Linked DNA regions of Oryctolagus cuniculus. The protein of the gene in region 2 purifies or fractionates together with the protein of the main gene of each other region. This does not show direct contact. Links are inferred from orthologs where the notes say so. Each region holds a gene or a part of one and is shown on either strand. Other genes may lie near its edges.

What was found.
Region 1: the proteins of EEF1G (region 2) and EEF1A2 purify together in Homo sapiens (affinity purification with mass spectrometry; 4 studies listed by BioGRID and IntAct, counting the BioPlex papers as one, with this or other methods). This does not show direct contact. The link is inferred for Oryctolagus cuniculus from reciprocal best matches to the Homo sapiens genes EEF1G and EEF1A2.
Region 3: the proteins of EEF1G (region 2) and EEF1A1 purify together in Homo sapiens (affinity purification with mass spectrometry; 5 studies listed by BioGRID and IntAct, counting the BioPlex papers as one, with this or other methods). This does not show direct contact. The link is inferred for Oryctolagus cuniculus from reciprocal best matches to the Homo sapiens genes EEF1G and EEF1A1.

Annotation. Positions count from the first base shown.
Region 1 is NC_091442.1:447,920-451,859, reverse strand, and holds the start of EEF1A2 (elongation factor 1-alpha 2), read right to left. Parts: upstream 2,803-3,940; 5' UTR 2,792-2,802; intron 2,756-2,791; exon of another isoform or gene 2,637-2,755; intron 2,025-2,636; exon of another isoform or gene 1,939-2,024; intron 1,810-1,938; 5' UTR 1,797-1,809; coding exon 1,653-1,796; intron 644-1,652; coding exon 464-643; intron 139-463; coding exon 1-138. UniProt on the Homo sapiens protein: Translation elongation factor that catalyzes the GTP-dependent binding of aminoacyl-tRNA (aa-tRNA) to the A-site of ribosomes during the elongation phase of protein synthesis.
Region 2 is NC_091432.1:8,977,991-8,982,039, reverse strand, and holds the start of EEF1G (elongation factor 1-gamma), read right to left. Parts: upstream 2,804-4,049; 5' UTR 2,794-2,803; coding exon 2,782-2,793; intron 2,135-2,781; exon of another isoform or gene 1,928-2,134; coding exon of another isoform or gene 1,913-1,927; intron 1,692-1,912; coding exon 1,533-1,691; intron 880-1,532; coding exon 816-879; intron 661-815; coding exon 518-660; intron 1-517. Other genes in the region: TUT1 (speckle targeted PIP5K1A-regulated poly(A) polymerase), read right to left, coding at 3,884-4,049. UniProt on the Homo sapiens protein: Probably plays a role in anchoring the complex to other cellular components.
Region 3 is NC_091436.1:99,027,732-99,031,916, reverse strand, and holds EEF1A1 (elongation factor 1-alpha 1), read right to left. Parts: upstream 2,803-4,185; 5' UTR 2,775-2,802; coding exon 2,631-2,774; intron 2,374-2,630; coding exon 2,194-2,373; intron 2,081-2,193; coding exon 1,784-2,080; intron 1,704-1,783; coding exon 1,553-1,703; intron 1,452-1,552; coding exon 1,195-1,451; intron 1,029-1,194; coding exon 794-1,028; intron 692-793; coding exon 567-691; 3' UTR 282-566; downstream 1-281. UniProt on the Homo sapiens protein: Translation elongation factor that catalyzes the GTP-dependent binding of aminoacyl-tRNA (aa-tRNA) to the A-site of ribosomes during the elongation phase of protein synthesis.

The DNA of each region.
Region 1 (3,940 bases), on a different chromosome or scaffold from region 2:
CTTGTTGACGCCCACGATGAGCTGCTTCACGCCCAGCGTGTAGGCCAGCAGCGCGTGCTCCCGCGTCTGCCCGTTCTTGGAGATGCCGGCCTCAAACTCGCCCACGCCCGCGGCCACGATGAGCACCGCGCAGTCCGCCTGGGGCAGGCCCGGCACCGTGAGCCCCAGCCCGCGGGAGCGGAGCGGGGGTGGGCAGTCGCTGGCCCCCAGCCCTGGGGCCCCGCCCCACCATCAGCGCCTGTGGCCCTGTCCCTCGCTGCAGGGCCGAGTGTGTGGCCTCCTGGGTGCTGCCCGGCTCTCTGCCTGCCTGGGCCCACTGCTGTCACCCACACCTTGCTGTTCCTGTCTTGGCCTCTACAGCTGTTGGGGGGTCATCCCGTGTCCCCACCTGTTCCCCCGCAGCTGGCTGGGGCCGAGAGGGGGAGCAGGGGAGGTGCCCCCTCCACGCCCCCGCCCTGCCCACCTGGGACGTGCCCGTGATCATGTTCTTGATGAAGTCGCGGTGGCCGGGCGCGTCGATGATGGTGATGTAGTACTTGGTGGTCTCGAACTTCCAGAGGGAGATGTCGATGGTGATGCCGCGCTCCCGCTCGGCCTTCAGCTTGTCCAGCACCCAGGCGTACTTGAAGGAGCCTTTCCCCATCTGCAGGCAGGACCCAGGGCCCAGCGGTCACACCCAGCCCAGGGTGGAGCCTGCGCAGTGCCCGGGCTGCCCTGGACCGGGGAGCAGCCCCTGAGAGCAGGGGTCCCCAGTCCTCCCTGCAGCAGTTCACATGTCCACCAGCAGGTGGCGTGAGGGCCCGGGAGCTGTCTTCCCCGAAGGAGGCCGTCAGGATGAATCCACTCCCAGGGTGGGGGGCCCCTCATCTGAGGTCGGTGACACCCTCAGACTCTGGGTCACCCAGAGGCACCGCACTGGGTGTCGGCTGCCAAATCAATAGCCCCTCTGTTATTTATAAACAGAAAAAAATCTTGGGAAATTTCCAGCTCTTTCCACTGCCTGTGAGGCTCCGCCTCCTCTTCTCGCCTCCCCGGGGAGCTGGGCCGGGCGCAGCTGGCAAGCACCTGGGAGACCCCCACAGCCTAGGCCAGGGCTGCAGCTTGAGGTGCAGGTGCTGTCCAGCCGGGCCGGGCTCGGGCAGGAGGGCTGCCCACCCAGGGCTGAGCCGGCACCGGCTGCGGCTCAGAGCACCCCTTCCCCCCCTCCCAGGGGCCCAGCCCAGGCTCTGCCGCACGCACACAGTGTCTCCCAGAGCTGGGGGTGGGGGCCGGGGCCACGGCCCACCCACGGGTCTCAGCCAGGAAAGAGGCAAGGTCAGCTGAGGGCCGTCCTCCTGGACACGCGGCCCTAGCAGGTCAGTAGGAGAGAGCGGCGCTGGGCCGCCTGCCCGTCGTCCCGCTATTAATAGCAGCTGCGCCTGGCCAGGCCCCGGGACAAGTGAGGGCAGTGCCACCTCCAGCCCCAGCCTCTGCCCTGGGGGCAAGGAGAGGGCTCTGGAACCCTCTGTGGACCCCTGCAGGGCAGGCCCGCCCCTCCCCAACAGGGACCTGGCAGCTGAGGCCGCCCTGCCCCCTCCCTGGGTCCTCAGGGGGCGCTGCCTCAGCCCCACGCGGGGGCGGGCCTCTGGGGGGCAGCTGGGGCCCAGGCTCACCTCGGCCGCCTCCTTTTCAAACTTCTCGATGGTCCTCTTGTCGATGCCCCCGCACTTGTAGATGAGGTGGCCGGTGGTGGTGGACTTGCCCGAGTCCACATGGCCGATGACCACGATGTTGATGTGCGTCTTCTCCTTGCCCATTCTGCCGGGGGCTCTGCTGGGGAGGGGGTGGCTCAGGGAGGAGCCCCCAGCCCCCACCTGGGCCTGCCCCAGCTGAGCCCCCGCCCCCGCCCCTGCCTCCGTCTGCTGCAGCCCCCGCCCCTGCTCCTTGCAAAGCCCCCACCTGGAAGACAAGGGGCACCGTGCCGGGGAGCCCAGGACCAGTGCAGCCGGGTGATGAGTCACCCTGCCGGCCCCCCAGCCGCCGCAGGGCCAGGGACAAGCGCCCCGCCCCCACCTGCTGGAGAGGCGGTCAGTGCGCCATCTTCCGCTGTCCCTGCCCGCGGGCTGGCAGGGGGGACGCAGGCCCCATGTGGTGCCTGGCTAGGGACTCCCCCAGACATCAGACAGCCCCCAGGGGACAGACAGCAGGGCCGGAGGGGGTCCCTGCTCCAGCTGGGGGGGAGGCTCCCGCCAGCCAGCTCAGCGGCCGGGCACCCTGTGCTCCCCTCTTCCCTCTGGTCCAGAATCTGGGGTTCAGCGCCTGCCCATCCTGGAGGTCAAGGAGAATCCCTCCACACCACTGCTGACCCCAGAGGCCAGGAGACTGGGGGAGGGGAAGACAGAGGCTGCGGCACCCTGGGGGTGGGAACACCGGCCAGGGACCTGGAAAAGCTCCCTTCTTGTCCTCCCCAGACTGCCCCGCACCGGCACAGGCCAGACCGCCCCCACCCCCGACAGCTCGCTGCAACCCTCCCCAAACCCGCAGGGCCCGGGCGGCCCAAGGTCACGGCGGCTGGGCGGCGTAGCCCCCCGGAGCCGCCGCCTTGCACACCAGAGCGCCTCGGTCCCCTCCCCACCCGCCTGCCCGCAGGGACCGACCCCGGCACGGGGGTCGGCCACAGCCCCGGCCGAGCGGCGGGGCGTCGCCAGGCGCACAGAGCGGCTCCGCTCTGCGCCCCGGGCCGGTCTCCGGGGAGAGGTCCCTCGGCGAAAAGCCGGGCCTGGGGCGGGCCCCGGAAGCCGAACGTCCTTACCCGGAGCCGAGGTCTCAGCCAGAGGGACTGGCGGCGCCGGCGCCGGCGGTTTTATGTCTCCGGGAGGGGTCCACCTATTGACGGTGCGGGCGCAATGCACCGCGCCCTGCAGTACGGCAATGCGGCGCGCGCGGGCGGGCGCAGCCGGGGCGAGCCCAGGGGCGCGCGGGAGCGGGCGCGCGGGAGGCGGGGGGAGGGAGCGAGCACCAGCGATGGAGGGAGAGCGCGGGATGCGGCGAGGCGGCGGGGGATGGGTACCGGGACATAGACAGAGACCCTGGCTGACACCGCGGCGGGGCGGGGGAGGGGGGGTCGCGGCCTCTGGGCAGATGGAGGCCCGGATGAGCGGGCACAGCAGGGCAGGAGTCTGCAGGTGAGGAGGGACGGGCAGGCGAGCAGGCCTGAAGCAAGCCCAAGTCCTGGTCTGTGTCCCAGTGGGGCGGGGGGGGGGGGCGCTCCAGGTCTGGCCTCATGAGCCTGTGCAGCCCCTCTGGGTGGGACCCTGCCCACAGCAGGCCCGTGAGGCCCCGGGGGGAGCCTCTGTCCCCTGCTCCTGGCCGCTCCCAGCACCCACTCACATCGGTGACAGGTGTGGGGCAGAGTGGGCTTTGGGGAAACAGCCACAGCCCGGGGTCCTAAGGGAGCCAGCCCCCAGCCCACGGCCTCCCCTGGCTGAGCCAAGCCCTTGCTTGCTGATTTCAGAGGGCCTCCTGCTGGGAGGGAGAGTCCCTAAGGTTGGACAGCTCCCGAGGCTCCAGGCGGGGGGCAGGCAGCGTGGATGTGGTGCGAGTCACGGTGGGGGCCTCTCGCAGCCCCTGTCCTCATCACGTCCCCAGGCTTTGCTCCCCTGCTGTCCGCCCCCCCCCCCCCCGGCTCAGGCCTTGGTCTGCAGGGTCTGGGGGGAGGAGAGGTGGATGCCAACAGCCCTCTGCCTGTTCCCGTGGCCGGCGGGGTCCCCTGGGACTGGCCAGGGGCGGCACCAGGTGGGGGCCCCTGCACCTGCTACTGGGGTGATGCCCGTGGCTGGCCGCGGGGAGGACAGTCGGGTGGGGCCCCCGGACAGTGGCAGGCCCTCCTGGGGGCTGCCCCTGTGTTTGCAGACCGCAAGTCCAGGGACCCCTGACCCCATGGCCAGGGATGCAGAGGAGG
Region 2 (4,049 bases):
CTTCTCAGTGGGAAGCAATTCCCTTCCCTCAACCCTCCACAGAACTAAAAAAAGCTGCTTCACTGAATTGAGTCTGGCTCACCCAGACCAGCCCTCTTTCAATGGAGTCAGATTCTAAGATGATTCCAAATCACAAAGCTCTCCATGGTTAAATTTCTTTATGGCAGTCTGGCTTCATTTCCACAGTAATGATGGTACTCATTTATCTTTGGATAAGTAGATGGAATCTTGGACGTCATCTGGTTTAACTCTTCTACAACTTGGTAAACTTCCTACAACAGAAATCTCTCCTCTGATCTCTTATGACAGATAACACTTCCACTGACAAAAAAAAAAAAAAAAAAAAAAAAGCCAGACAGCACCCACTGTCCCACATGTATACTCCAAAGCCTACGTTTCCTCATTGCCCACACATCTGTGGTACTTTGCTTTCTCAGCCTATTGTATTTCTTACTCCCCAGCATGCAGAAGCTGATGCCAACCCTGCTCCTGCTTCTCCCCAAGTTCCGAGGCTCACCTGCTTGTTGTGATGCATGATGCCCAAGGTGGGGAACACCCAAGTGCTGGCTGGGGGCACTATGTCACTATCGGCAAAGCTCACCCACTGCACCACCTGGGCGGCTGCCTCTGGAGTACTTCCCCGCAGCTCCTCATTGCTCACTGCAGAGGCAGAACACAAAGAGCAGAACTTTGGGATCATGCCAACATAAGTCTAGGTTCCCAAGAATTCTTCCTTGTCCACTCCAGCTCACCCGCATCCTCTCCTACACCCTCACCTCCACACCCTCCCATTCCCATAAGTGCCTGTAAATTACCATAGTAGGCAATGGCGTTGCTCTCAAACACACAGAATCCATCATCACCTTCAAATGCTGGAACCTGGGGGCAAAACAGTGAAAACATAAAGTACATTTCATTAGCGAATCCCAGGAACTGAACTGCTTTGGACAAAACTGTCTACATAAGGCTGACAATTCTTGTAATCCAAACTCTTAATACCGTCTAACAAACAGACTTTGATAACTTGGTATCCCCTGTAATCTGAATTTGCCATGTCTAAACTAAGAAACCCAAAATATTTGGTTATTATAAGGTATTTGTATAGAAGTCTTCAAATACGAAGGGGCTAGAAACGAAGTTATACATGTTTGCTGTATCACTCACTGTATCTGGCCTACGCATATACACCTGATCCCTCCACTCTTAGTGAAGTAATTTCCCTATCTCTGTAAGCCCCTTGGATTAAAAACCTTGCTCACAATATATAATCTATATACTCACACTGAAATAGTTGGCCAAAACTCATTCTCTTTCTCAGAAATATAAAGCATGCCTGTCAGTTTTATAAAGTCACTGAGGAGCTATTATTTTTCACAACTACAATTATCTAAGAAAGTGTTCTTAACCACTGAAATGTGAAAGAAAATAACATGAGAAGCTGTCTTTTAAAGATAAGGCCCATCCCCAGAGTGACGGAATCAGGGCTCCTAAGGGTCCCAGGTCCAAAAGCCCCTCACCACTTCCTTACTCACCTTGCCAGCAGGGAATTTGCGGAGAAATTCAGGGGTTCGGTTGGTCTGGCCGAAGTGGAAGTGGGGGGGTGCGGAGAGCACGCGGACCTGAGCCCCGCTGTACTGAGCAGCGATGAGGGCCTTAAAGGCCCTCCAGTTTTCAGGGTATGTGTACAGGGTCTATGTAAGAAAAGGGGAAAAGATTAATGTGAGGAGGGGTCCCAGCCTGCGCGCCATATGCCAGCATGGCTTTCCTCAGCCATCACAATCGGTTCCGCTCACTTTTACTCCCTCGGGGAAACCAGGTTCCCTAGTGCTTGCCACATGTAATCAGAGTCCTCCGAAGCACCAAGCACAGAACTACGCATCAGCGGCTAAATAAAGCTCGGGGACAAACTGACCTTCCCTAAGGACATCTCGGGAAGCACTCATTCTCCTTCCCCTCATATTTATCTCCAAGAAGCCCAGCACTGCCTCCCTGAGACTCCGTCTGCCTACAAACCTACACCCCTGCCTTCCCGGGGGCTGCGTTTCATTCATTGACGGTTCCCCAGTGCCTGCCTACTCCACCGCTGAGCTCATCACTGCCTCAGAGCCACCAACCTCCTCTGCAAGGCACACACATCCGGACGTTTCAAGTTCCCCTCAGGATAGCCATCGAGACAACCAATAGCATGCCCTCTTCCTAAATCGACTCCTTGCCCTAAAAAGCCTTTCTTGCCGAGTCGCGCACGCCTTCCCTCCCGTCCCGTCCCGTCCCGCAGCGAGTTCCCAGCTTCTGCCATCTCGGAGAGCCCGGCCAGAGGGATCCATCCACCCGGTCTGGCCTCACCGTCCAGAGATGCCTCGCTCCCCCAAGCCTCCCTGAGCGGCAACCCCTAACCATGCCAGCCGAGCCTCTCCACAAAGACCCTCCTCTTCGCTCTGCCCCCGCTGCTGCCCCACAAAACGGCCGCGAAAGTTCCGCCAACCTGCCCGGATCCCGCGTCTCAACGAAGCAATGAAGCTGAACCCCCTGTCAGGCTCCAGACGGCCCAGATCCAGCATCTCATTGCTCCTCTACCCCAGACTCTTCCACCTCTGGCCTCGGAGAGCCCCAGCCTCAGTTCCCTTCCGGGCCCTAGGACCTCCGTTCTCCTACAGTACGGTCTGTAAACTCCGGATCGGTCCCCCACTCAGCTCCAGAACGCCTCCGGCGCCGACTGGCCCTACTCAGACAGAGGATGGCGGCGGATAAGGTGACCCGGCTCACTAGACCCGGCAAACTTACCCCGGCCGCCATGGTGATTCCGCAGAGAAAGGGGGTTGGGCTCTCAGCGCTGCCGCAAAGTAAGCCGCCAGGGAGAAAAGGGAGGGGGTAAGGGGAGAGCCGTGGAGAAACAGCAGCCGGAAAGCGAGGACGGCATAGAAGGCACACGCACGACAGTTCGGTATCCAGCCGCGTTGGAGGGGGTGGGGCCTGAGGGGCCGCGCAGCCGGCGCGCTGGGCTTGTGACTGGCCGGCCCTTCTGCTGCAACCGACCAATCAGAGCCCCGAGGTGGAGGTAGAAGGCGGGGGGGGGGAGGCGGGGGCGGGGAAACTGTGAGAACCGGCTAGCAGGGCCGCCCCTTCGCGGCTACGTGGCACAGCGGCCCACCCAGTGCGGCGCCGGCTCCCGCAGGCGCACCCCTCCCGCCTTCCTGCGGCAAGCGGCCTGACGGTAGGTTCTGCCAGCCCCTCGCATCGCCCGCGAAGCTCACGGGGCCGAGAAGCCAGAGCTGCGCGGAGGCGGGAGCTGGCGAGGTTCCTTTTGTTCCCGCTCTGGACTTGAGAGAGGAATGTACACGTAACAGGGGCTCGGGTCTGAAACCATCTGCCCGAGTGAGGTTCGCTCACATGACACTAGTTTGCAACTCCGCATGCTGGTACTGCGACAAGGACACCAGACCTCTGACCCGCAGCAGTTCAGGGGCGCAGGAGAACCCAGCCATGGGCCCTGCCACCCGCTTCGGAGCCTGCATTCTGCTGGGTTGCTTTTTACCCATGTTCCGGTGTGAAAATCTATTACTCAGTTGAAGAACGAGAATGGAAGAGGTCTGAACCCACATCTCCGGCTTTGACACCACGTGTAAACCCGGGGCAGCAGCCTCACTGGAGGCAGACTTGCTGCAAAGCCCGCAAGCACGGTCATTCGGGAACTCTGCCAGGTGCCTGCAGGCAGTGCTAAGTGGGAAGACCAGGGTGATCGGGGTCAGACAAGGCAGATCTGAGAGGGCTGTATTAAGGTGTGGGAGAGCCCAAGAAGGAGGCGGAAAGTACCGGGAGAAAATCAGAGAAAACTGGAGAGTATTTGTATTAAACTAGCAGCTTTATTGCCCTCTATGGCCCATGTTCACTTGAGGAGATTTCGCAGTGCTTGAGGGAGGAAAACTTGTAAGAAGTGATAGAGGTCAGGGAACAGGCCCTGGGAATCCCGGAGAGGGGTCACAGTGAGAGTCTGGTCAGCTTGGGAGGCAGACACGATGAAGGTCAGGAGGGGGTCAGTTTCTAGCCTGGGT
Region 3 (4,185 bases), on a different chromosome or scaffold from region 2:
AGTAATTTGGGAAACCAAAATTTAATGATTCTAACAAATTTACTTGTAGCTACACAATTTTATATGCAACATTTCATCCCTTAAGATTACAGAATTTTGCTTTCTAAACTAAATTACATGTCAACAGTTCTAACCAGCAGGGCTAACAGCCCTCCATAGCTTAAAACAAACAGGTGGGAAAAAATCCCTAACCCATGGAGTTTTAAAATTCCAGCCAATTCTAATTAGAAAAACCTGGAACACATTTGACAGGTCCAGTGTTGACAAGAAGACACAGGTTTCTCATTAAACTTTGTTTTAATGGGTCTCAAAATTCTGTGACAGATTTTTGGTCAAGTTGTTTCCATTAAAAAGTACTGATTTTAAAAACTAATAACTTAAAACTGCCACGCACAAAAAAAATGGTCCACAAAACATTCTCCTTTCCTTCTGAAGGTTTTACGATGCATTGTTATCATTAACCAGTCTTTTACTATTAAACTTAAATGGCCAATTGAGACAAACAGTTCTGAGACCGTTCTTCCACCACTGATTAAGACTGGGGTGGCAGGTATTAGGGGTAATATTCATTTAGCCTTCTGAGCTTTCTGGGCAGACTTGGTGACCTTGCCAGCTCCAGCAGCCTTCTTGTCCACTGCTTTGATCACACCCACAGCAACCGTCTGTCTCATATCACGGACAGCGAAACGACCTATTAAAACAAGTATTGAGTTGCCATGAGACACATAGTTCACAGAAGCAATTGTTAATCTTTAGTACAACTTGTAATAGCAATAAAAAAAAAAATCCTTACCCAGAGGAGGATAGTCAGAGAAGCTCTCAACACACATGGGCTTGCCGGGAACCATATCAACAATGGCAGCATCACCAGATTTCAAGAATTTAGGGCCATCTTCCAACTTCTTTCCAGAACGACGATCAATCTTTTCCTTCAGCTCAGCAAACTTGCAAGCAATGTGAGCTGTGTGACAATCCAGTACAGGGGCATACCCAGCACTGATCTGACCTGGATGGTTCAGGATGATCACCTGGGAAAAAAAGGATATGCATTTTAGTGCTTCTCAAACTGAACTGTGGTAACAGCTAGAAATGCTAACTCCCCTGATGTGATAACACTTCATACATGCATCAGATTGCTTACCCCCTTGAGTATGCATGAACATTGTCAATTAACAGATCATTTTAAATTGTTACCTGAGCAGTGAAGCCAGCTGCTTCCATTGGTGGGTCATTTTTGCTGTCACCAGCAACGTTGCCACGACGAACATCTTTGACAGACACGTTCTTGACATTGAAGCCCACATTGTCCCCAGGAAGAGCTTCACTCAAAGCTTCATGGTGCATTTCGACGGACTTGACTTCAGTTGTGACATTGACTGGAGCAAAAGTTACCACCATGCCAGGTTTGAGAACACCAGTCTCCACTCGGCCCACAGGGACAGTGCCAATACCTAAAATATTTGCAGATTACCAAAGAGTTATTGAGGGCCAAAGATTTTTCACCTGTTCCAATTCAAGTTATATTCTGATGTTACATTAATACCCAACTTACCACCAATTTTGTAGACATCCTGTAGGGGCAGACGCAGAGGCTTGTCAGTTGGTCTAGTTGGTGGAAGGATGCAGTCCAGGGCTTCAAGCAGTGTGGTTCCACTGGCATTGCCATCTTTGCGGGTGACTTTCCATCCCTTGAACCACGGCATCTGAAACACAAGAGAACAATTAATTCTATCACATCACCACTTCCAGCTCTTTAACAAGCACTGTCTTGAAAGTCACTTACATTAGCACTTGGCTCCAGCATGTTGTCACCGTTCCAACCAGAAATTGGCACAAATGCTACTGTGTCAGGGTTGTAGCCAATTTTCTTAATGTAGGTGCTGACTTCCTTAACGATTTCCTCGTATCTCTTCTGGCTGTAGGGTGGCTCAGTGGAATCCATCTTGTTAACACCAACAATTAGCTGTTTCACACCCAGCGTGTAAGCCAGAAGGGCATGCTCACGGGTCTGCCCGTTCTTGGAGATACCAGCTTCAAATTCCCCGACACCAGCAGCAACAATCAGGACGGCACAGTCAGCCTTTAAAGAAATCAAGGACACACACTGTGAACGAAGGTACCTCAAACCTAAGGAGGAACTCACCCACCCCCCGCCTAGAAAACCTTATGTCTACAGTTACTAGTTGCACAAACCTGAGATGTGCCTGTAATCATGTTTTTGATGAAGTCTCTGTGTCCTGGGGCATCAATGATAGTCACGTAATACTTGCTGGTCTCAAATTTCCACAGGGAGATGTCGATGGTGATACCACGCTCACGCTCGGCTTTCAGTTTATCCAAGACCCAGGCATACTTGAAGGAGCCCTTTCCCATCTGTAATTACACAGAGCACTCAGACGGTTACTAAGACACAGCAAAGCTTGAAACCCCATGCCCCCCTCCGCTTGGGAATGCATTCCGCTTCCCAAACTGCTGGGCCTAGGTGGCTCTCCAGTCGATATGGTGGCTCGTGATTTTAACATTCACATTCAGACAACTAATCACTGTTGTCTTTTATAGTCATAGCACTCTCATTTTAGTGGCCAGACTTAATGTAATTCAGCATCTTTCCCTTGCGATACTGGACATACCTCGGCAGCCTCCTTCTCAAATTTTTCAATGGTTCTTTTGTCGATGCCACCACATTTGTAGATCAGATGGCCAGTGGTGGTGGACTTGCCCGAATCTACGTGGCCAATGACGACGATGTTGATGTGAGTCTTTTCCTTTCCCATTTTGGCTTTGATTTAGCGGTGGTTTTCACGACACCTAAAATGGAAAAAGGGGGGGAACCTTTGAACCACTGTCCGAGGGTTGAGACTAAGCCACGTTCAAAACTCAAAAGGGCAAATTCCAAGGAGAATTACATCCAATGCCAAGCTGGCCTAACTCTTCAGTCTCCACCCACCGAGTGAGTTAACTCCATCGCCTAAAAAATCTCCGCCCCCAGCCGAGCCAAGCCGAACTCCAAAGGCCACACGAAGAAGCCAGGTGCCCAGACGGCGCCCTGTACCCCGTGGGGTCGCAGGAAGCGGCGGCCGAAGAGGGGAAGGCTCTTTTCCTTTGTGTGGGTGACTCACCCGCCCGCTCTCCCGGGCCACCGCGTCCTCCATTTTGAGCTCCCTGCAGCGGGGACGGCGAGCGGCCATCTTTTTCCGCGCACGCAACTGGTGCCGAGCGGGCCGGGCTCCGCCGCCCGGGGTGGGGCGGCCGCGGCCCCACCGAGCCGCCCGCCCCACGACCCTCGCCTCTCCCCTCGCCCGGCCTGGGCAGGCGCGGCGCCGTCGGGCCTCGCCCAGGCCGCGCCCGACATGTGCGCCCGGACGGGCGGGCCCCGCCGCTCGCTGTCCCTACGCCGCGCGGCCGCCCTGCCACCCCCTCGGGCCGGACGACGAACGCGCGGGGTAGCCCGCCCGGCCTCGGCGGGCCCATCTCGACGAACAAAAAAAGAGCCGTACCGATCCACGTAAAAACTCAAAGGGCCGAAGGGCCCCGCGAGCGAGGCTAGCCAGGCCGGCGCGAAGGCGAGAGGACTCGCACGCGGCGGCCACGCCAGGCCTCAACTCCAGCACGAGGAAGAGGCTCCTGGAAAACGCGCAAACCTCCAACCCTCCCGCCCCGTTACAGCCCGAAATTCGGAGCCAGGAACCTCGTCAAGAGGCTCAGTGGCATGGCAGTGTCCCCGAGCACGCGAGGGCCCCAGCCCGCTCAAGGCCAGACCCGCGGAAGCCACACCCGACACTCACCTGTGTTCTGGCGGCAAACCCGTTGCGAAAAAGAACGTCCAGGGCGACTACGGCACTTATATACGGTTCTCCCCCACCCTCGGGAAGAGGGCGGAGTCAGCACACGACACCGCTTTCCCAGTTTGCCCCGCGCCACCTCCACTAGGCACCGGTTCAATCGCCGTCCCCTCCCCCAACGCCTCGGGGACCGTGGGCGATGTGCGCTCCGACCACTGACGAGCACACAGCGCCTCGCGCATGCTCGCCTCGGTCCCGGTGACGACGAGCGCGAGGGGTAGGGGGCGGGGACGCGGCGATCTCTCGGTTCTAGGGTAACGGGAGTTTAGCGACGGTCCCTGGGCTTCCCCGAGACTGAGGCGAGTCCTCTTTTGTATGAATTACTCTGGGCTCTGGCGGCGAG